Linked DNA regions of Canis lupus familiaris. The protein of the gene in region 2 purifies or fractionates together with the protein of the main gene of each other region. This does not show direct contact. Links are inferred from orthologs where the notes say so. Each region holds a gene or a part of one and is shown on either strand. Other genes may lie near its edges. The genes, in order: MYO6, ARHGEF12, GNA13, GIPC1 and VAPA.

Region 1 (4,106 bases), on a different chromosome or scaffold from region 2:
GGTCAGAAGACTTAGGTGTGAATCCAGACTTTGTTCCTCTGGAGCTGTAAGACCTTGAGCAAATATTTAATTCTCTAAGCTTAAATTTCCTCATGTGTAAAAGGACAAGACCACCAACCTTGAAAATTATTTTGTAGATTAAATCTCTCAGTGTTCTGATTATACCAGATTCCTATATGGTATAGGAATTATACCAATTCCATCCAGTGGGTGGGTGATGATCTTATACTACCAAAGGGCCAGTTCAGGGGCACCCGGATGGCTCAGTTGGGTAAGTGTCTGCCTTTGGCTCAGGTCATGATCCCAAGTTTCTGGGATAGAGCCCCCGCATCTGGGAATCTGCTTCTCCGTCTCTCTCTGCCCCTTGTGTGCTTGCTCTCTCATTTTCTCTCAAATAAATAAATAAAAATCTTTTTTTAATTAATTCATTAATTTTAAAAAATGAGGGCCAGTTCAGAATTATTATGAAGTACATCATTAAAGGGATCACAAACTGTATGAGAGTTAGCAAAGCAGTAATACCATTTTTAGTCTTTTACTGAAAATGTTTTCATATACAAACATGAAAATTTCACAGAGGTCAGAAATCTTTTTAAAACTGACATTTTTAAATATCAAAATGAAGCTTCAATTATCAACAGTGAAAACTGGTTAATTTTCTAAAAAATGTTTTGGGTGCTTAGATTTATCCAAACCTCACAAAGCAAAAAAATTTAAAACTTTCTTAAAAGAGCTGTACTTTAGAACCCAGAGACAGCCCAGTTATCTAAACAATGGGCTACATGATACACCACAGTCTCCAGGCAAAGTCACAACAGGATGAGAAAAGAGCCTTCAGCCTCTCTCAGATTTCCTGGCCACTGTTATTTTAAAACTTGATCACATAAACATAAACAGAGGGAAAAAATCCACTTCAGATAAGCGCCATGGGTTATGACTTATGATCTGTTCTTAATACATCATATTAATTTACATTAAATATTACAATAATGCATTACACTTTTCTTGTTCATGCTTCTGGACTAATGAAGAATACGTGTATTACAGTTTTACATAATATGTATTTAGAGTTTTTAATCCTGTAATCTCTTTCTAAAGTTCTTTTACTTCTTTTTAAAATTACCTTTTGAAAACGAAAAGGTAACTCAAACTGGGAGAACAATGTCACATAGAACACACAAACGCAATAGGCAAATCTGCCTAAGACTAAAATGACTTGTTTACCACTGTGTGTATAATTCCTGCGCAATTTAAAATACTCAACATGAGCTGTATATTTAAAAGTCAATGAGTTACTTTGAATGGCTGCATTGTTTCAAGCTCTGGCTATAGCCCAATGTGTAATGTTTCTAAAATTAATGATAAAAAATACCAAGGTAATTTTTTCACGAAGCAATTTCCAAATATAAAACCACAACCCAAGGTATCTATGAAGTTTAGTTAATTTGTACAGATATGCTGTTTTCCTGCCAACCTTTGCACCATGACCATTCCAGCCCAAGTTCAAGATTCACATTTCATGGTGTGAAGAGTTTCAACTAAACCTTAAGAATTTTTAAAACTTTCACACCCTGACGATACTCAGATACTTTGCATCTACACCACCAGAGCATAACAGCAAATGAAACTTTTATTTAGCACGTACAGCAATCTGTGAAGTTGCGGCAGTGCTCCTAGCTGCTCACTAGTATCTGTAGATTAGGATGCATACATTCCTCCACTACAACTTTATGCCCCATAAAACGTAACCTGTCTCCTTAAACACTACAGAAATAGTATTTCCGACACGGATGTGCCAGTAATAACCCTACCAAATTACTTCCTACTTAAAATCCCGGGGTTGGGGATCCCTGGGTGGCTCAGCGGTTTAGCGCCTGCCTTCGGCCCGGATCGAGTCCCGGGATCGAGTCCCGCATCGGGCTCCCGGCGTGGAGCCTGCTTCTCCCTCTGCCTCTCTCTCTCTCTCTCTGTCTCTCTCTCTCATGAATAAATAAGTAAAATCTTAAAAAAAAACATCCCGGGGTTGGAGCATCTGAATGGTTTTAAGGAGTTTTTGGAAATTAACAAATATAAAAAGCTCTTGTTCGGTAGCACAAATGTCCATTAACATACTCAAAGTACTGGACCACCTAAGGACTAAAATTATCCCGTTCAGACGGTCCCACCCGGTCTTCTACATGACTAGACTATCAATTCGACAGTGGCCGGCACCTGATACGAAGGTATCTCCGAGCAGGCGGCACTGTTCCTGCGCTGGATTTCAAGCTTGTTTACTCAAGAGAAAGAACTACCACGGGGCGTCCACGTCCGGGTGGGGCACCGGAGTGCTCTGCTACCCGGGGGCAGGGAAGGGACCCACAGGTAGCCTGCTGACGACAGACCCGTGAAAACCAGAACCAGCCCCGCACCGCCGTGAGCCGCCGGCCGGGCCCAGCCGGCACCTGCCTCACCGCGCGCATCCCGGGCGGAGACCCGGCCGTCAGCCCCGGCGGCGGAGGCCCGAAGCAGCGCGGCCCGGGGACGCGAGGCCCGGACGCCGACGCCGACGCCGACGCCCCGAGGAGCGGCCCCGCGCCACTCACCGGGGTGGCCGCGAGCGCAGGTGCGCGGAGGCGAGGCTACCTGTGGCCGGCGAGGTGGAGGGCGGGGTGAAAGGTAACCAAGTCGAGCGCGAAGGGCGACTGCGTGGACAGGCTCGGAGACGCGGCGGCGGCGGCGGCGGCGACCGCGGTCCTGCGAGCTTCCTGCTCGGACAGATCCCGGGGCCGTCTCCGCCCGCCGGCCGGCGCCCCGCCGAGTCCCCGGCCCCGGCGCGCGCACGTCACGGCTACGGAGCGCCCAAGGGGGCGGGGGCGCCGCGGGCCGGGGCGGGGCGGGCCGGGGCGGGGCGGGCCGGGGCGGCCGGGCACGGGGGGCGCAGGCGCGCGCTCCCCGAGGGGGCGCTGGGCGCCCGCAGCCCCCCGCCCCGCCCCGCCCCGCCCCGCCCCGCCGCGCCGCTCGCCCCCGCCCCCGCCCCCGCCCCGCGGCGCGCAGCCTCCCGGGCGGAGGTGGGCGCGCTGGAGCGCGGGAAGGGGCCGCGGCGGGCCCGGCCGGCAGCCTCGTTCCTCCCCCTGCGGCACGGCCTTCCTCGCCGCGGTTGTCTCCAGCCCGGGTGCGGAGACCGTGGAGTCCGGCAACAGCAAGAACCAGTTCACGGAGGGAGAAAGGTGTTCAGACGCGGCCAGGACCACGCGCTTTACTCGAGGGCGTTGTTGCGGAGGGAAGAACCGCTGCTAACTAGGCTCCGGTCCGGGTCGGCTTGGGCTGCGCTGGGCTGGGCTGGGCTGAGCTACGCTGGGCTGAGCTACGCTGGGCTGGGGTGGGCTGCACTGGGATGCGCTGGGGTGTGCTGGGCGCTGGGCTGCGCTGGGCTGTGCTGGGCTGAGCTGGGCTGCGAGGCGCTGGGCTGTACTGGGATGCGCTGGTGTGTGCTGGGCGCTGGGCTGTGCTGGGCTGTGCTGGGCACTGAGCTGCGCTGGGCTGCGCTGGGCTGGGCTACGCTGGGCTGGGGTGGGCTGAGCTGGGCTGCGCTGGTGTGGGCTGAGCTGGGCTGCGCTGAGCTGGGAGGCGCTGGGCTGGGCTATGCTGGGCTGCGCTCCGCTGAGCTGGGCTGCTCTGGGCTGCGCTGGGCTGGGCTACGCTGGGCTGCGCTGGTGTGGGCTGAGCTGGGCTGCGCTGAGCTGGGAGGCGCTGGGCTGGGCTATGCTGGGCTGCGCTCCGCTGAGCTGGGCTGCTCTGGGCTGCGCTGGGCTGGGCTACGCTGGGCTGCGCTGGGGTGGGCTGAGCTGGGCTGGGAGGCGCTGGCCTACGCTGGGCTGAGCTGGGCTGCGCTGAGCTGGGCTGCGCCGCGACAGGAGCAGTCTTGCTCTCTGCTTTGGGTGGCAGAGGGTCTGAGATGGAAATTTTGTATTCCTCCGGCCCCCGAATCCCCATTTACTGACTAGAACCCGATCTTCTCTTTTACTGTTTTTATAAGTGACATACCTGTAAATCCTCTTTGAAAATTAAATATGAAGTGGCTATGCAAAATTGAATTATATGATGAAAACATACGTCGCCTTTACAAC
Region 2 (3,963 bases):
CCTAAACATAGCTGAATTCCATCCCAGCCCCAGCACGTCCCTAACACAAGAATAAAACCCTTCTTATCTTGTTCAGCCATGTGTCGCCTGCCACAAACTGCAAAACAGAACAACGCCCAAAACCAGCTAGTCTGATTTCAAATGAGGACAGACAGACTCTGTAGTCAGAAGCACCACAATGAAAGAACTCTAACTCACACAGCTGGCCTGGTGGGTCTGCACACTCTACCAAACAAAGCCATACCACATACAGTACTTCAAACTTGAAAGGATCTTTAAAAAGCTACACTGGCACTGTTAATTTGCCAATAGCTCTAGAATCAGCAAAATACACCTACAGTACACTGGAATTAGACAGTGAGAAACAAGAATGGGGTAGACATAGCAGAGAAGCAGCTAAGAACTACTCTGTACCCATAACTTTGTTAAGGTACCCTGGGAAAAAAAATAACACTAAACTGGCGCGCTTCTGGATTTCACCCCAACATATATTTAAATCAGGGACAACTACTCTCCTAGCCAGCAAATGGATGCTTGATATCTACAGAGTAAGATGTGTTTAAAGAAAATGTAATAGTCACCTAAGAATAATCTTGTTAAAAAAAAAAAAAACTAGTAGCAAATTTCTAAGATACGGGTATCCACAATGTCTTGGCAATGCATTCTAAATTAAGTGGTTTTTAAAGGTGTTTTTCTTTTTTAAAATGTAACATCAGCCAACACCTGAACTTATTCAAGGACATCAATACCCAAACCAATTTGCAGATTCATCTTATACTTAGAATACTCGTCTTTTAATCTTTTGTGCTTAGCACGGGGCCTGGCAAAGGACATCCACTGACTACATATTTATTGTATATCTGTATCTCATCTAACTTATTAAAAAAAAAAAAAAGTCCCAAGATTTAATTTCAAGATAATAGAAAAAGGAAAAAAATCTCTGAGAAGCAGAGAGGAAGGTTATTAAGTGGGCACTATTATTAAGTGGTTCTCATGTGAAATGAGCTAGTGACCCTTGGTTCTGTTTCTACAAAATTAAGCACCCCTAGTACCACAGTAAAAACTACTAATACTACATTAGTCCCTAATAAGACTTCTTGTCTAAAGGCTCATACAGAGGCCAAGAAGTGAATGAACCAGGAAAATAAAAACACAACGTGATTTCTCAGTAGCAAAACACCCTGAAAGGAAAAGGGATGGGGATGATCGAAAGAAATTAAAGATAAGCACTGCTGCTACTTGTTGTTACGGGTACAATCAGAAAAGTTGAAAACTAAAATTAATTTTAAAAAAATACGCAACGAATATAGTTTAAATATTTAATGGAATCTTTTAGGTGAACATTCACGTGACACTGGAAAGCATCAACAGGAAGAGGAAGTTCTGTTTCTGGAGTAGCTGTTATGGTATGATAATGGAATTTGGCCCTTTTAAAATCAACAAATGAGTCTGACCATTGGGTGAAACTCTGTATTAGGAAACTCCACATTTTCTGCAAGAGCACTATTGTTGCACTTTTCATCAAAGTGCTTTGTTTTGCCCCCCTAATTCAGTTATTTGATCTTTTTTTTTTTTTTTTTAAATGATGTAATAGTCTGAATACGGACTTAAAAAAAACAAAAAAAAGACTGGCTGAAATTTGGAACCAGGATACAAGGTCATAATGAAATTGAGAAATAAAATACAGTAAAAGGAATTTACTGTTTAAACCAATATTCCAAAGAATAACCCCTAAGAGTAAAGAAGCTCCACTTAAAACCACATAGCCTGAGCTCAATTCACCAACCACCAGGCAACACAGATCAGCAGCAGAAAGGACTCACAGAACTCAGCACATCCACCTGCCATGCTTCTAACTACCTAATTCGCTTAGGGTTTGTATCTCTTGAATGCAAAAGCTTCTGGGAGATGAAATACGAAAAATGCAACAATTAAAATCAAACCCCATGACTCTCCCTCGCCCCCCCCCACCTGTTTTTTTTTTTTTTTTAAGCTCCATCAGGAGCCTGAGATCTACTAGTAATTTCAACATTCTGGAAAATGATTAGATAATAAACACTACGCAGCTCAATATTCAAAGAAGAGCCAGCTCAAAAATCATCCTGCAGCCGTCTCAGGACGAAGTCCACAGACGGCAATTCCTAGAACCTAAACACGGCGTCTGGGGGGACCACGGCGGGGGGGGGGGGGGGGGGCAGGAGGAAGACCGATAGGTGATGCACCAATACCCCCGGCCGAGGTCGGGCGCTGACCTTCACCCCAAATGACCTTCCCCTGGGTTCCAAGAGAAGTGCCGGATCCCAGTGCACGCGCGCCCCAGAGAGCGCCGCGACCGTGGCGTGCACCTACCCCATCCGCGGACAAATCTGGAGAAAAGTTTCTCTCCAAAAAAAAAAAAAAAAAGAAGCAGCAGCAGCTACATTTCCAAACTCGATCGAGTGGGTAAGTTGGCAGCAGCCCCAGACTAACTGCGGAGCTCCAGGGCGCGCGTCCCTGCTCTGCCTGTCAGCGGCGCCGGGCAGGGCGGTCGGGGGCGGTCGGGGGCGGTCGGGGGCCGTGGGCTCGCCGGGCCGGGCGGGCCGGGCGCCGCGTACCCACCTGTCGGTGATAGTGGGCTGTGTGCCGCTCATTGGGGCCCGTGGCGAGAGGTCCTCCTTCTATCCAACTTGCATGGTACGGAACACCTCCGCCCCACCCCCCGTGCCCTGGGACCAGGCCCGACTCCGCAGGCGACGCCGCAGTCCGGCTCAAGACTCCATGCAGTCATCGAGGACGTCCGGCGGGAAGGGGTCGGGGAGAGGGAGCAGGTCGGGGCGGCGGGCGGCGGCGGGCGGGCCGTCTATCTGGGGCTGCCCGCCGCTCGTGGCCACCGCGCCGGCCGCGGCTCGGGCCGCCCTGCGCCGGGCTCGCGCCGCTCCATGCCCCCGGCCCGGGGGCCGCTGCCGTCGTCCTCGCCGCCTGGGGCTCCGGGGCAGGGCTCCCGCGGCCGGAGGGGACGGGAAGCCGGTGTCTCAGCGCCGCGGGCTGCTCCCCATCCCCGGGAGGCCCGGACTCTTCCGCAGTCGGCGCGGGCGGCGGGCGGCGGGCGGCGGGCGGCGGGCGGCGGCGGCGGCTCCTCCCCGACGCGCCGGTAGGCGGCCGTTCCCGCGAGGGGCGGGAGGTTCCCGTCCGGTCCGGCCTCGAGAGCGGCGGCGGCGGCTGAGGCGGCGGAGGCGGCGGCGGCTGAGGCGGCGGCGGCGGCGGCCACTCGGCGCGCGGGGCCGGGTCGCGGGGTCGCGGAGCTCTCGCGGGAGCGCGCGCGGCGGGCGGAGGAGGCCGCGGGGGGGGGCGGAGGGGGGCGCACGACGGCCGCGGGCGCGCGCGCGGGTTCCGGTTCCGGTTCTGTCTTTCCCGGCCCCGGCCGCGTCCAGCGCGAGCGAGCTCTTCCCCTCCCCCGCCGCCGACTCTCTTTTTTTTTTTTTTTTTTTTTTTTTTTTTGGCCTCCTCCCCTCTGACTTCGGGAAGCCGCCTCACCCGGGATCCCTCCGCGGCGCGCGGGGCCGCCCCGCCGCCCGCCGCCCTCGTCTCCCCCGCGCCTTGCGGAGCGCGCCAGGGCCGCGCGGACGCCTCCGCCGGAAAAGTAGTTCTGCGGGGCGGAGGGAGGCGGGGGCCGGCCGGGCGCGGAGGCCCACCCCCCCCCCCCCCCCCGCCGCTCGTCGGCCCCGGGCCCGCGGGGAGCTGCGCGCCGGAGTCTGGCTGCCCCCGGAGACGCCGCCGGAGAGCGCTCGCCCGGCCCCCGGTCCCCAGGGGCCCGGACGGGAGGCTCCTCGGGCATTACCCGGCCCCCTTACCCTGCAAACCTTTATTCCTTAATGCGCTGTACTTGTCGTGACTTTCTGATAGCTCGTAAAGAACGGTGACGGCTGGAAGCGAAGGACGCTGTCGGGCACCTGGACCTGCAGGGAGAGGGTTTGGCCTCGGATG
Region 3 (3,513 bases), on a different chromosome or scaffold from region 2:
TTAAGAAAGTTGCAAATACCCAAAATCATACCATATCTATTTGGTGTTGTAACATTTCTTGGTGGTAGTCTTGGTGATTGCTGCTTTGTCAGGCAAGATTTATGGTTCATATCACAGATCTTAAATATAATTTAAATAAGACCAAGTTTGCTCTTTGTACAGGGAACTTACTTTAGCCTTCACTGAAGTTCAATGGTTTGGGCCATTCAACTAAACTATTTGCGAAATTTACACAAAGACTCTCCAGCAAAAAGTCCCAATGTTACTGTGCGCATATTCAGACATTCACTAGCACTGAAGTTATTCTAATTCTGTGAATTTAAACACTATATTCTTTTTGGCAAGAAGCACTGGATGTAGAACTATTCAAACATGCACGAACTGTATACTATGAAGACTTGAATTATGATGCAGGGCTACGTGTCTGTAGCTCGTGTATGACCAAGGCATGAAAACACTGAAAGTTACTATGGATAAAATGATGGTGGAATTTCAAATGCAAGAAAAGTCAAGAACAGTTACGAACAATCCCTGGTTAGCTCACTTTAAAGTCCTACTGTCACACTAGACTGCAGACCCACCAAGAGCCACCATCTTGGAAAGGCTGCATGATCCATAATGTTGACCAATCTTTCAAGGACTTTCTAGCCAACAGAATACCTGAGAACACAGCTCTACAGTAAAGTGACAGGTATCACAGTCTTAATCACAATTTTCAGGAAAAGGAGAAAAGCTGTCAGATTTTCCAAACTGTCACCAGCCTTGGGCATTTGCCTCTCTAGCCCTGGTCTAACACCACACACAACCTACAAGGCAGTATTTTCAGTACTGCAAACCAGTCCCCTCTGATGAGTTCACCATGACCACATCTGAGATCACAAAGCTGCTGCAAGGGTATACTTTCATTTCATACGTGGTGAGGTCAAATGCAATCATATTTCGGTGTGACCTAAAAAAATTACTGCTTATTCTTAGAAGTATCCCCAAAACATTCAAAATGTACCTCAATAAAGCTAGAATTTCATAAGCAATAATGATATGAACATGTAGGTGTATGTTTTAGAGACACACCAAGAATGAACACAAATCTCAAACAATGCCTTCTTGAGTCATCTGACAGGAAAACATTGACCTTGGCAAGCTCCAAATAAAAACTCCCATATATGCCACAGTTGGAGTTGATGGGAATAAACAGGAGAGCAAAAGAAAGATGTTCTGTGATGGTACAACAGTGATTCTCTGCAGTGAGGACCCGAATCTTCCAAGACAGGACATACAAGTCTGAGCATAAAGCACGTAACATCCTGGAAACAGTATGTTTATTTAGAAAGCTCTGTTATCAAGTTACTTGCAATTTTTATAGCTGCTGCTATGGCCAGAATGTTTCACATATGGCACATTTATTATATGATATTTAAATATGAAAAGGGCACACTATATTTCACTCATTACTTTGCATCAAAACACTCTGTACGGCATTGGCTCCCTCTTGCTCCCCTCCCTCAGCCCCGTACCATTTGTGAACTTCCATTAGCATCAGACCAGGAATCCTTATGTAAACTTTAAAACACTAAGAACATTACCTTCAGAAACCACAGAAATTTTAAAACTAAACAACTGTCGCTATATAAGCAATTAAAAAAAACACGAAGGCTAAATCTGTGTAAAGCTACAGAATGCCAGTCCTTAGATCAAACTTTTTTTCCAATAGCCCTTTCAAAACAGGTCACCGTAAAGCGAGGCACAAGTGTCGCTGCCGTGCACAGGACAGAAAAAAGGGACCTTGCTTGTGTCAGAACCGAATATTCTTAACCTCATACCAAGAAAGATTCGAAGACACCTTCCATACTTGGCACTACAGAATTCAGTTTGAGAAGTGGAAAAAGCTAAAGCCTGAACTCTATCTAGTCAGAGGCTTGGCAGGAAACTAGAACCCCCTCAAAGGGAAGCCACAGTGAAACAGATCAAAGACTGAACATCGACAGGTATCAGCGATTGTTACTCAGCAGCTTTCAGCCAGCCACAAACCAAAGTCTGCAGGAGGAGGACTAAGATTTCCAAGAAGCTAAACTTAGAATCAAGATTTTTCTCATTCCTGTTGTAAACTGCTATTTCCAAAAACAAAACAAACAGAACACAATCAAGAGGACAAAAGGGATTAAAATGGCCAGTCTTCTGTCCATCACTGTAGCATGAGCTGCTTGAGGTTGTCGTGAAGAATGGTGTCCTTCACGTCACGGAACACGAGGCGGATATTCTCTGTGTTGATGGCAGTGGTGAAGTGGTGGTACAAGGGCTTCTGCTGCTGGTCCCGGCGTTTGTTCCGGAAACATTCCACCAGGAATTTTTGGACGTCTCTTAAGCAGTGGGGATCCCCTTCAAATTCTAAGAAATAGTCTTTGATGCTCACAATTTGCACTTTCTCCTCAAGCAAATCTGTCTTGTTTAAGAAGAGAATTATGGAGACATTGCTGAAAACCCGGTTATTGACGATTGTTTCAAAAATGTTCAGAGATTCTGTAAGGCGATTGGTCAGTCGGTCTTCCATAAGCACCTGGTCAAATTCACTTGAGGAAACAAGGAAAAGTATTGATGTCACGCTGTCGAAGCATTCAAACCATCGTTTTCTCTCTGATCTTTGACCACCCACATCAACCATTTTGAAAGGAACATTTTTAATTTCAAAGTCATACTCATGAATGCCTTTGGTGGGTCTTCTGGCAAGCAGAATATCTTGTTGCGATGGAATGTAATCCTGGAAAAGAAAAAAACTGCTTTACACTCAGTAACCCAGAAGTAATTAACGTTTCCGATGAACTACTAACTGGTTGAATGACTGGATATGCAAATAGCTTATCTTTAATTTTTTAAAAAATATTTTAAAAATTTATTCATGAGAAAGAGAGAGCACACACACATGTGTGGGCATGAGCAAAGGGAGGGGCCGAGGGACAAGCAGACTCCCTGCTGAGCGGAGGGCCAGGGATGCGGGGCCTGACCCCAGGACCCTGAGATCAGAGATCATGACCTGAGCAGAAGTCAGATGCTAAGCTGACTGAGACACCCAGGCGCCACACCAACTTATCTTTTTAATAACTTCTGGCTGCATTAAAGCATCAGTACACTATTATTCTCATTACAAAATGCAAAGATACATTAAAATGTTGGGGTACGAAGACTCGTTCAAAATTCTATGTTTTCCACTCCTGCAGTATCTTCAGACTGAAGTCTTAACTCTCGGGTGTCCCATTGTCCTGCCTACTGTCGTGTCTCTACCCCTAATATTACTCCTCACTGACCCACCCTCTGCTCCGGCCAGAGTGACCCAGGGCTTCCTACTCATTCCTCCAACCTGCTTCTTATCTCTCTGTGAAAAGCAAGGAGGGCTGAAGCGCCAATTCGTGAAGGCCACCTCCCGGCGCACAGTTCTGGCTACCTCTCTCTAGCTCTTTCTAAACACCCCTTTCCTGTGCCCTACCTCCACGACTAAAAACTCCCACAATGGTCACTCCG
Region 4 (4,084 bases), on a different chromosome or scaffold from region 2:
TGTTTACATATTTGGGATACTAGTCTTTTATTGATTACTTCATCTAACCATAGCACACATCACACTAAGCATTCACCTAATATCTGATAAAAAACAAATTCTGAATGAATAAACCCATACTGCCCCCTCAGATTATTACAACACACTCAGTGATGCTTCAAACCAAACCAAACCAAACCCCTCATCATCACCTCCCCTGTTCTCCTCCTGCTGCCCCTCATACATCTTAGCGGGATGCTGAGAACATGAGTCTGGAACCTGGTTTCTCCACTTATTAGCTGTGTGACCTTGGGCAAGTATCTTAACTTCTCTGAGCTCCAAGGAGGGTGGCCTGGGTTCAAATCCCATCCTTGCCACTTACCAGCTGCGTGGTCGTGGGCAAGTGTCACTTCATGTGATGGAGCCTCAGTTTTCTCAGTCGAAAAATGGGTGGAATTCCTGTCTCTCTCCAGGTGCTTATGGGAATCCAAAGAGATTGTGCAGACAACCCGATTAGCATTTTGCCTGACATTCAATTTAAGAAAACTGTTACTAGTATTGTCATTATTATTATGGCCTCCTCCCCTGCCCACCCCACCCCCCCCCCCCCCACCGCCCAGGAACATCCCAGTCTGTGCTTCTGCTGTCTGCTGTCCGCGGAGGCCTAGTCTAGGTGGCCTCCTCCAGGCAGCCTCCCTGGCTTGCCCCAGCCTGCTGGAACTGCCCCTGTGGTCCAGACAGCTCAAGGCCCATGAACTTAATTACACATTATCCCGGCAGAACTCTTGTCTTTCAGTCCCAGGCTGCTATTTCACTTCGTGTCTCTATTTTAAAATGTAAACCAGATCACGTCACTCCCCGGCTTCCAATCTTACAGCGGTCTCCTACCTTTACAGAGGAAAAGCCCCAAACTCCTTAATATGAGCCACAGGCCCCTGCAGAACTGCCACTCTGGCGGCAGCTCGTGCCCCCACACACTATCCCAAGCTCCATCCAGCCTCAGAGTTTTTGCCCAGGCTGGGCCCCCTGCCTGACCTTTGCTGGGCCACCTTCTTTCTGTCATTTAGATCTTGTCTCCAAAGTCGCCTCCTCCAAAAGCCACCCCCTTTACCACAGATTCCACCCGGCCACCCCCCTCATATTTTATTCATAGCACACGCACTTACTACCATCCGCGGGTACTGTCTTTATCTACTTGTTAACTTGCTTGCTGCCCTTTTCCCCACTAGGACGGCGGCTCCCACAGAGCAGGGATTTTTGTCTTGTTTGCTATTATGCCCTCTGTGCCAAGGACAGTGCTTGGCCCATGGGAGGTGCTCAGTAAATGTTTGCAGAATGGACGGGTGTGCGTGCCTCGTGTCCTCATTCAGACTCCTCTCTGAGCCCTCCTATCCTCAGAACATGCCTGCTGTGGGGTTGCTAACTGACACTTCCTCCCCACATTCCCAGTGTCCCCTCAAACCTGAACATAGGGATGGTGGAAAAAGTGTCAGCCGGGGGTCCAAGCGCATTGGCTGGAATCCTAGCATCCCCACCCTCGCTTCCCTGGGAGGGGCCTGAAACTTAGCAACCCCACCACCAAGCAGAATCACAGTGAGGGCAGCAGGAAGTGGGGAGGGGAGTTCCTGGGAGTTGACAAAAGCTTGGGTGGGGGGAGAGACACCACACCCAACCTCCCCTTTCTAGTAGGATACTGCTTTGGAGGGGAGGGCGGGAGGCGGGAGGCAGGGAGGCGGGAGGCCTCTGATTCAGTCTTGAAAAACCGGCTCCCGGGTGTTTCCGGGGAGAACGCCTACTGCCTGGGCCTCAGCGCAGGCTTTCCAGAGGGGCCCAGTGGGCAAAGGACCCCAGCATCCAGGCCTCCTATGTCCCCTGCAGATGTCACTCTCTTCTTAGGACCTAGGTATTCAGGCAAGCCTTCCCAGGTCCGGGGAGGCAAGACAGGGTTGGTGTCCGGGGACCTCTTGGGGGGAAGCAAAGACCAGCAGGTGTGGCCCAGATACATGCATGGTTGGGGGATGCAGGCAGCAGCGGGCAGAGGAGCTGGTCGGGAACACCTGAGCCACGGAGCCACTGGGCCACTGATCCATGGAGCCATCTAGTCTAGCGGCTGAGACTCCAGTTCTGGACTCCGAAGCACGGGTTCGAGTTCCAGCCCTGCCACTTACTAGCTGTGTCACCTTGGGCAAGTCACTCCACTTCTCCGGGTCTGTTGCTTCACCTCTAAAAGAAGTAACAGCACCTTCCATGAGGTGTTTGGACGCAACGATGTGCATGGTAAATACCTGACACGGAAGCGTCCAGTCAGTGCTAGCCGGGGGTGATTTTTTCATGATTATTACCGGGACCTCAGTCCTCTCCAGGTCCCTCTCTCGGCCCTGGAGGGCCGCGTCGAGGCCAAGGTGGGACGAGGGAGGTGCCCGGGCAGGACTCAGAAATGCCGAGCCCGCCGGGACGGGGCTGTCCAGGGCAGTGCAGGGGGCAGGGTGGGCTGCCGACCCCATCTCAGAGGCGGGAGGTGTTTGACCCCGGCCCCCGGCGGGAAGATGGGCGCCTCCGGGGGAAGGGGCCTCAGGCATCCTGGGGCCCAACCTAGACCTCCAGCAGCGACCCCGGGGCCGTCCCCCCGCTACTCGCTCGATCCGCCGGATCCCCATGGGTCCGCGACCCCGCGGGCCCGCGCTGGGGTCCCCGGAGCGGCCGTGCCCCGCCCGCAGGGACACTCACCTGCGCCGCCGCCGCCGCCACCCGCGCGCTCCGGGCTCGGCCCTCCGCAAACTCCGGCCCGGGCCTCTCCCGCAGCCGCGGCCGGGGGGCGGGGCCAGCGCCCGCAGCGCGCCAATCAGGAGCGGCCGCCCGACGCCCGTGGCCAATCCGCGCCGCGCCGCCCAGCGCCGGGTGGGCCCGACGGAAGCATTCCAGAGGGATCCCTCCGCCTCGCCCGGCTCCTCCCGGCCCCCCCGCGCCGCGGCGCAGTGGACCTGCCCACCCTGCCGAAAGCCGCGGCAGGCTGTACCACCGCAGGGCGCGGAGGGGGGACCTGAGGCTGGGCCCCTGCCAATCGCGGGGAAGGAAGGAGGCGAGCAACCAATGGGGAGCTGGGGTCCCTGGCCCACGTGCTGCCGGCGGAGTGTCCGTCTGGGGTGTCCAGGGTGGTAAGGAGCGGGAGGGCCGGTCGTGGGAGTCAGGTGACGCGGGCCGAGTTTCGGGCAGAGGCTAACTCGCCACGTCCGGAAGAGCTGACCCTTTAGGAGACCTAGGAAGGGGCCGAGGGCAGCCCCCGATCCCAGTCCTCCTCCCTGTCTGCGCCTGCCCCAGCCTGGCCATCCTGTGAGCGGATAAAAAGGATGCATTCATTCCGGGCGGGCGAGCGGGCGGAGGAGCGAGATGAATAGGGAGGGTCCCGAGTGTCCCTGCTTCCTGGGGTGTACAATGGACAAGGGCATTTATTCATTCATTCATTCATTCCCTCACTCGTCAAATATTTCATGTGCCCCTGCTCCGTGCCAGGCTCTGTCCTACGTCTGCAGCTACTAAAGCGAATAAGCTGAATGTGCTTCTGGTGGAGGTAACAGCTCGTGCAGAAGGCCTGAAAGCTGGACTGAGAGATACAACACATTTTGGGAGAGTGCAATATCCTAGGAGCTAGCAAAACTGTGTGAAAGGGTGCATGGAAGGAAGACAAGATCGAGATGGACTGCTCGCTTGTTGGTTAAATCAGTGAATATTTACTGAACACATAATATGTGCTAGGTTGTAAAGGGTCCCCAACCATTCCGAGCCTCTGCCCTTTCATGAGGCTGTCTCCTCCATCTAAGTGCCCCCTCACCCCTGCTGGGGTCCTGAGACTGGCAGTGAGCAGCCTCTCAGAGCACTTGTGTGAATGAGAGGACCAGGTGACCTCGCCATCACCAGGTTTGGTGAGGCCCCGAGACTGGGATGTCTCAGGCAAGGGTAGGTCCAAGAAACAAAGACACAGATGCACCTTGTACAGACCAGGATGCTCAGTTCCCAGGACAGATGAGCTATCCTTGCTCTACTTCAAAGCCAGCCTCTGGGGCAGTTGGGGCTGGACCAGGAGCTTGCTGTGTGTTCTGGGAATTGT
Region 5 (3,513 bases), on a different chromosome or scaffold from region 2:
TTTATTCATTCGAATATATGAATGACTACTATATGCATGTGCTATGAATGCAAAGATGAATGAACACAGGTCCTTGCTCCCAAAGAGCTAGCGCCCACTGGAGGGAGAAAAACCTTTAACAAACAGGTACAGTGAGATGACGAAGGTTTCATGGAAACAAAGGAGATAGCATTCCAAAACCATACTTCTTTGCTTCTGGGAGGAGAGATTCCTAGAAAAAGTTATACTGAAAAGATGACAAGAACCAAGTACCAAAAGAGAACCATGCATGCGTGAATGTGCTTTTAAGGGTAGGAATGTGATTTCAGGGTGATCCAATCAGAAGAAGGAATTCAAGCTAAAGTAAAAAAGAGATCACTGACAGAGAGGCATCTTCAGGGTACTGTAGTCCAACACTGTCCAATATAAATATAAGCTTCAAATGTGAGCCACCTACATACTTTTAAATTTCTAATAGCACATTAAGACGGTAAAAAGAAAATAATAAAATTAATTTTAATAATAAAACTCAATCCAATATAACCAAAATATTACTTCAGTATGTAACAATACAAAAAAAAAGATTTTTTTTTTGGTACTAAGTCTAAGAAATCAATGAGTTATCATACTCACAACACATCTCACTTCAAACTAACCACATTGCAAGTGCTCAACAGCCACATACATCCCTACTATATACGGGACAGCACCATTTCAAGCAATTCATATGACCAGGGCATCAAATGTGAAGGATGTTACAAACAAGAGAGGAAGCCAGCAATGCCACAGGCCAGATCACAAATAACTAGGGCACCTACTAGGAAAGGAACTTGCAAGCAATGAGAAGCCTTGGTAAAACTATGAAAAGAGGCAAGAGTGGGGAGCAAAGGCTAAGACATAATCAAATTGGGGAAAAAGAGAAAGAACTGACCAAGGATAAATTTAAAAACTGATGGATAACGTGGCCTAATAATATTCACATATCCTAAGCTTTCATTTAAATTAACTTATTTTCAAAAACAACTTACTCTCAGATGTCGGTTTTCTTCTGATAGTTTCATCATTTCTCCCTGAAGTCTTTTACATTCTTCCATGAGTTTCCTTGTTTCAGTATCGTTGAGTGAAACACTATGTGGTTTTGGCATGGGTCCATCTTGCTTAGAGGCATTCAGTGGAACAGTTTTGCTAGGTTCCAGATCATTCTGTATTATAAAGATAGTGACACTTTTTTAACTGACCAAAACTCCTTACAGATTTTTAACAAATGCAAATTGAAACTCCATACCTTTTCCAAAAAAAAAAAAATCACTTAAATGGAAATTTTTAAGGTTGTGATTTAGTTAATCAGAATTTTTTAAAATACCAAAGGTTACAGTCATTCATGAACAATTTTAGGACTAAATGAATAAAGGTCAGCAGTAACAGAAGTCAAAATAAGCAGCCCACTCCCTCCTCTACTCCCAAAACCCTTCACACTTACCTCCACCACAGCACTTATCATATATCATAATAACGTATTTTTGATGTTCTTTCCTATAATACTTCAAAGACTGGGAGAGCAAGAGTCATTTCTTTTTGTATTTACCCCTAAACCCAGCACTTTGGCCAAGAGTAGTTATTCAATGTAAGTATGCTGAATGACTGACGCCAACCAAAATCCAAATATGAAGGTCATTTTCGGTACTCTGATTCTGCAATTCAAATGAGATTCTGAAGGGTAGGGGTGATATTATCATAATAATTCCAATGAAATAAGGAGACCACCTAAGAAAAACACTTAAAGAAAACCTAACTTCTATTAGTGGGAAAAAATAACAAGGATATAAACACAGAAGGGAAGATAATGAACACAAACTATATCATGGTTTAAAAAAAAGAGAAGGGAGTTAATCCCATGCTCTTAAACTCAAACATAAATTAATTCTTTCAAATTATTACTGACACTGTACACTTTAATTAATGAAATTCAATATGGAATCATAGTAGTACTTAAGACACGTTTAAAACTATAAGCTCTAAAACTGTGATTCTTACCAACACTCATCCAATATAGACAAATATCTAGAGCAGTGTCTAAGTGTCCCAGGGCCTGTGGTCTAAAGTTCTTCAATATCCTTTACCCTAATGTCATCTATACTATCACATACACCATTACAGTTTAGTGCAACAAGTCATCTTTTTAACTAAAATTTTACTTGCTAGAAATCTAATGTCAGATGTTTTTTAAAAGTGCCTTATTCAGATATAACTTCTAACAAAAACATTTCCAAAATCAACTTTATGAAATTCCACAATACTCAATAATAAGATTGAATTATAGATTGATTACACATCTACCACACCATCCCAAGTCCCAAATTTATATTAAGTTTGTATTAGTTCAAGGGGCAAACTATTATTTCTTATGAAGGGAATGTGATTTGATCACTATGCCTAAACTCATGTAAAACCATATGTTAATATGCCTACACTCATGGAAAACCAATAATGTTATAGTAAGGTTCTAATGTACACTATGTATTTGACTGTTAACATGCAGATTTTTCCATTTTTCTTCAGAAGCTTCTCAGCTGTGAATGAAGGGTTTTTAAGAAACCTACTTCCGATTTCATCCTCTTTTACAATACAAAAAGAGTTTCCCCCTCTTGCTAGCTTTCTTCTTCTTCACCTTATCTTCCCCTGTCCCGACCAAGTCCATCTCTATTAGTAAAAATCTATTCCAGATATATATTGCTCTCCACCAATAATATTTCTTAATCCTCCTCTTAACAGTAATTAAAATTCATTTCAAAATGATTTTTCAAGTGTGCTCCAATTCTAACCTAGAAGAAGTCCAAATTGAGAAAAAAAAAGCAGCTCACTGCCTTCCTCTATAAAGATGAAAGCAACAGTCAACAATTTGGCAACTAAGGAATCTTCAGGTTCTGATTAAGAATTGGGAAAAAGGGCAGCCCCAGTGGCACAGCGGTTTAGTGCCGCCTGCAGCCCAGGGTGTGATCCTGGAGACCCTGGATCGAGTCCCATGTCAGGCTCTCTGCGTGGAGCCTGCTTCTCCCTCTGCTTGTGTCTCTGCCTCTCTCTCTCTCTCTGTCTCTGCATGAATATGCAGATGAATAAAAAAAAAAAAAAAAGAATTGGGAAAAAAATATACAAGAGAGTTGACTAAAAAATTAAGAAGAGATACATGAAGCCAACAAGTGAAGAGAAAAAAATTAAAGTGAGGAATCATCAAACTCTTCACAACTGGGTTTTTATTTTTAAATTAATTCTTGAAATTCCAGAAAATCTATAATTATGAGAGGGAGGGAGAGGAAACTACTAATCTCATCAATGCAACCCAACTATTATTTATGTATTATCTTTCAGTATTTTCTCCTATACACATTTTATAAAACCAGCATACACTGTAACACTTTTATCTTTATTTATATGTACATCTTTTCATCATTTTAAGTGACACAATATTTCATTAAATACTCTTTGTCTAAGTAAAATTACTTAAACAGCTCACTCTTTTTAGACATTTGATGAGTA

The links.
Region 1: the proteins of ARHGEF12 (region 2) and MYO6 purify together in Homo sapiens (affinity purification with mass spectrometry; 4 studies listed by BioGRID and IntAct, counting the BioPlex papers as one, with this or other methods). This does not show direct contact. The link is inferred for Canis lupus familiaris from reciprocal best matches to the Homo sapiens genes ARHGEF12 and MYO6.
Region 3: the proteins of ARHGEF12 (region 2) and GNA13 purify together in Homo sapiens (affinity purification with western blotting; 3 studies listed by BioGRID). This does not show direct contact. The link is inferred for Canis lupus familiaris from reciprocal best matches to the Homo sapiens genes ARHGEF12 and GNA13.
Region 4: the proteins of ARHGEF12 (region 2) and GIPC1 purify together in Homo sapiens (co-immunoprecipitation; 4 studies listed by BioGRID and IntAct, with this or other methods). This does not show direct contact. The link is inferred for Canis lupus familiaris from reciprocal best matches to the Homo sapiens genes ARHGEF12 and GIPC1.
Region 5: the proteins of ARHGEF12 (region 2) and VAPA purify together in Homo sapiens (affinity purification with mass spectrometry; 5 studies listed by BioGRID and IntAct, counting the BioPlex papers as one, with this or other methods). This does not show direct contact. The link is inferred for Canis lupus familiaris from reciprocal best matches to the Homo sapiens genes ARHGEF12 and VAPA.

The regions. Positions count from the first base shown.
Region 1 is NC_049233.1:37,584,701-37,588,806, reverse strand, and holds the start of MYO6 (unconventional myosin-VI), read right to left. Parts: upstream 2,801-4,106; 5' UTR 2,623-2,800; exon of another isoform or gene 2,583-2,622; intron 1-2,582. UniProt on the Homo sapiens protein: Myosins are actin-based motor molecules with ATPase activity. Unconventional myosins serve in intracellular movements. Myosin 6 is a reverse-direction motor protein that moves towards the minus-end of actin filaments.
Region 2 is NC_049226.1:13,691,373-13,695,335, forward strand, and holds the start of ARHGEF12 (rho guanine nucleotide exchange factor 12), read right to left. Parts: upstream 2,812-3,963; 5' UTR 2,631-2,811; coding exon 2,599-2,630; intron 1-2,598. UniProt on the Homo sapiens protein: May play a role in the regulation of RhoA GTPase by guanine nucleotide-binding alpha-12 (GNA12) and alpha-13 (GNA13). Acts as guanine nucleotide exchange factor (GEF) for RhoA GTPase and may act as GTPase-activating protein (GAP) for GNA12 and GNA13.
Region 3 is NC_049230.1:11,956,286-11,959,798, forward strand, and holds part of GNA13 (guanine nucleotide-binding protein subunit alpha-13), read right to left. Parts: intron 2,756-3,513; coding exon 2,183-2,755; 3' UTR 1-2,182. UniProt on the Homo sapiens protein: Guanine nucleotide-binding proteins (G proteins) are involved as modulators or transducers in various transmembrane signaling systems.
Region 4 is NC_049241.1:48,542,848-48,546,931, reverse strand, and holds the start of GIPC1 (PDZ domain-containing protein GIPC1), read right to left. Parts: upstream 2,801-4,084; 5' UTR 2,707-2,800; intron 2,203-2,706; 5' UTR 2,148-2,202; intron 505-2,147; exon of another isoform or gene 456-504; 5' UTR 362-455; intron 1-361. UniProt on the Homo sapiens protein: May be involved in G protein-linked signaling.
Region 5 is NC_049228.1:75,968,976-75,972,488, reverse strand, and holds part of VAPA (vesicle-associated membrane protein-associated protein A), read right to left. Parts: intron 1,182-3,513; coding exon 1,008-1,181; intron 1-1,007. UniProt on the Homo sapiens protein: Endoplasmic reticulum (ER)-anchored protein that mediates the formation of contact sites between the ER and endosomes via interaction with FFAT motif-containing proteins such as STARD3 or WDR44.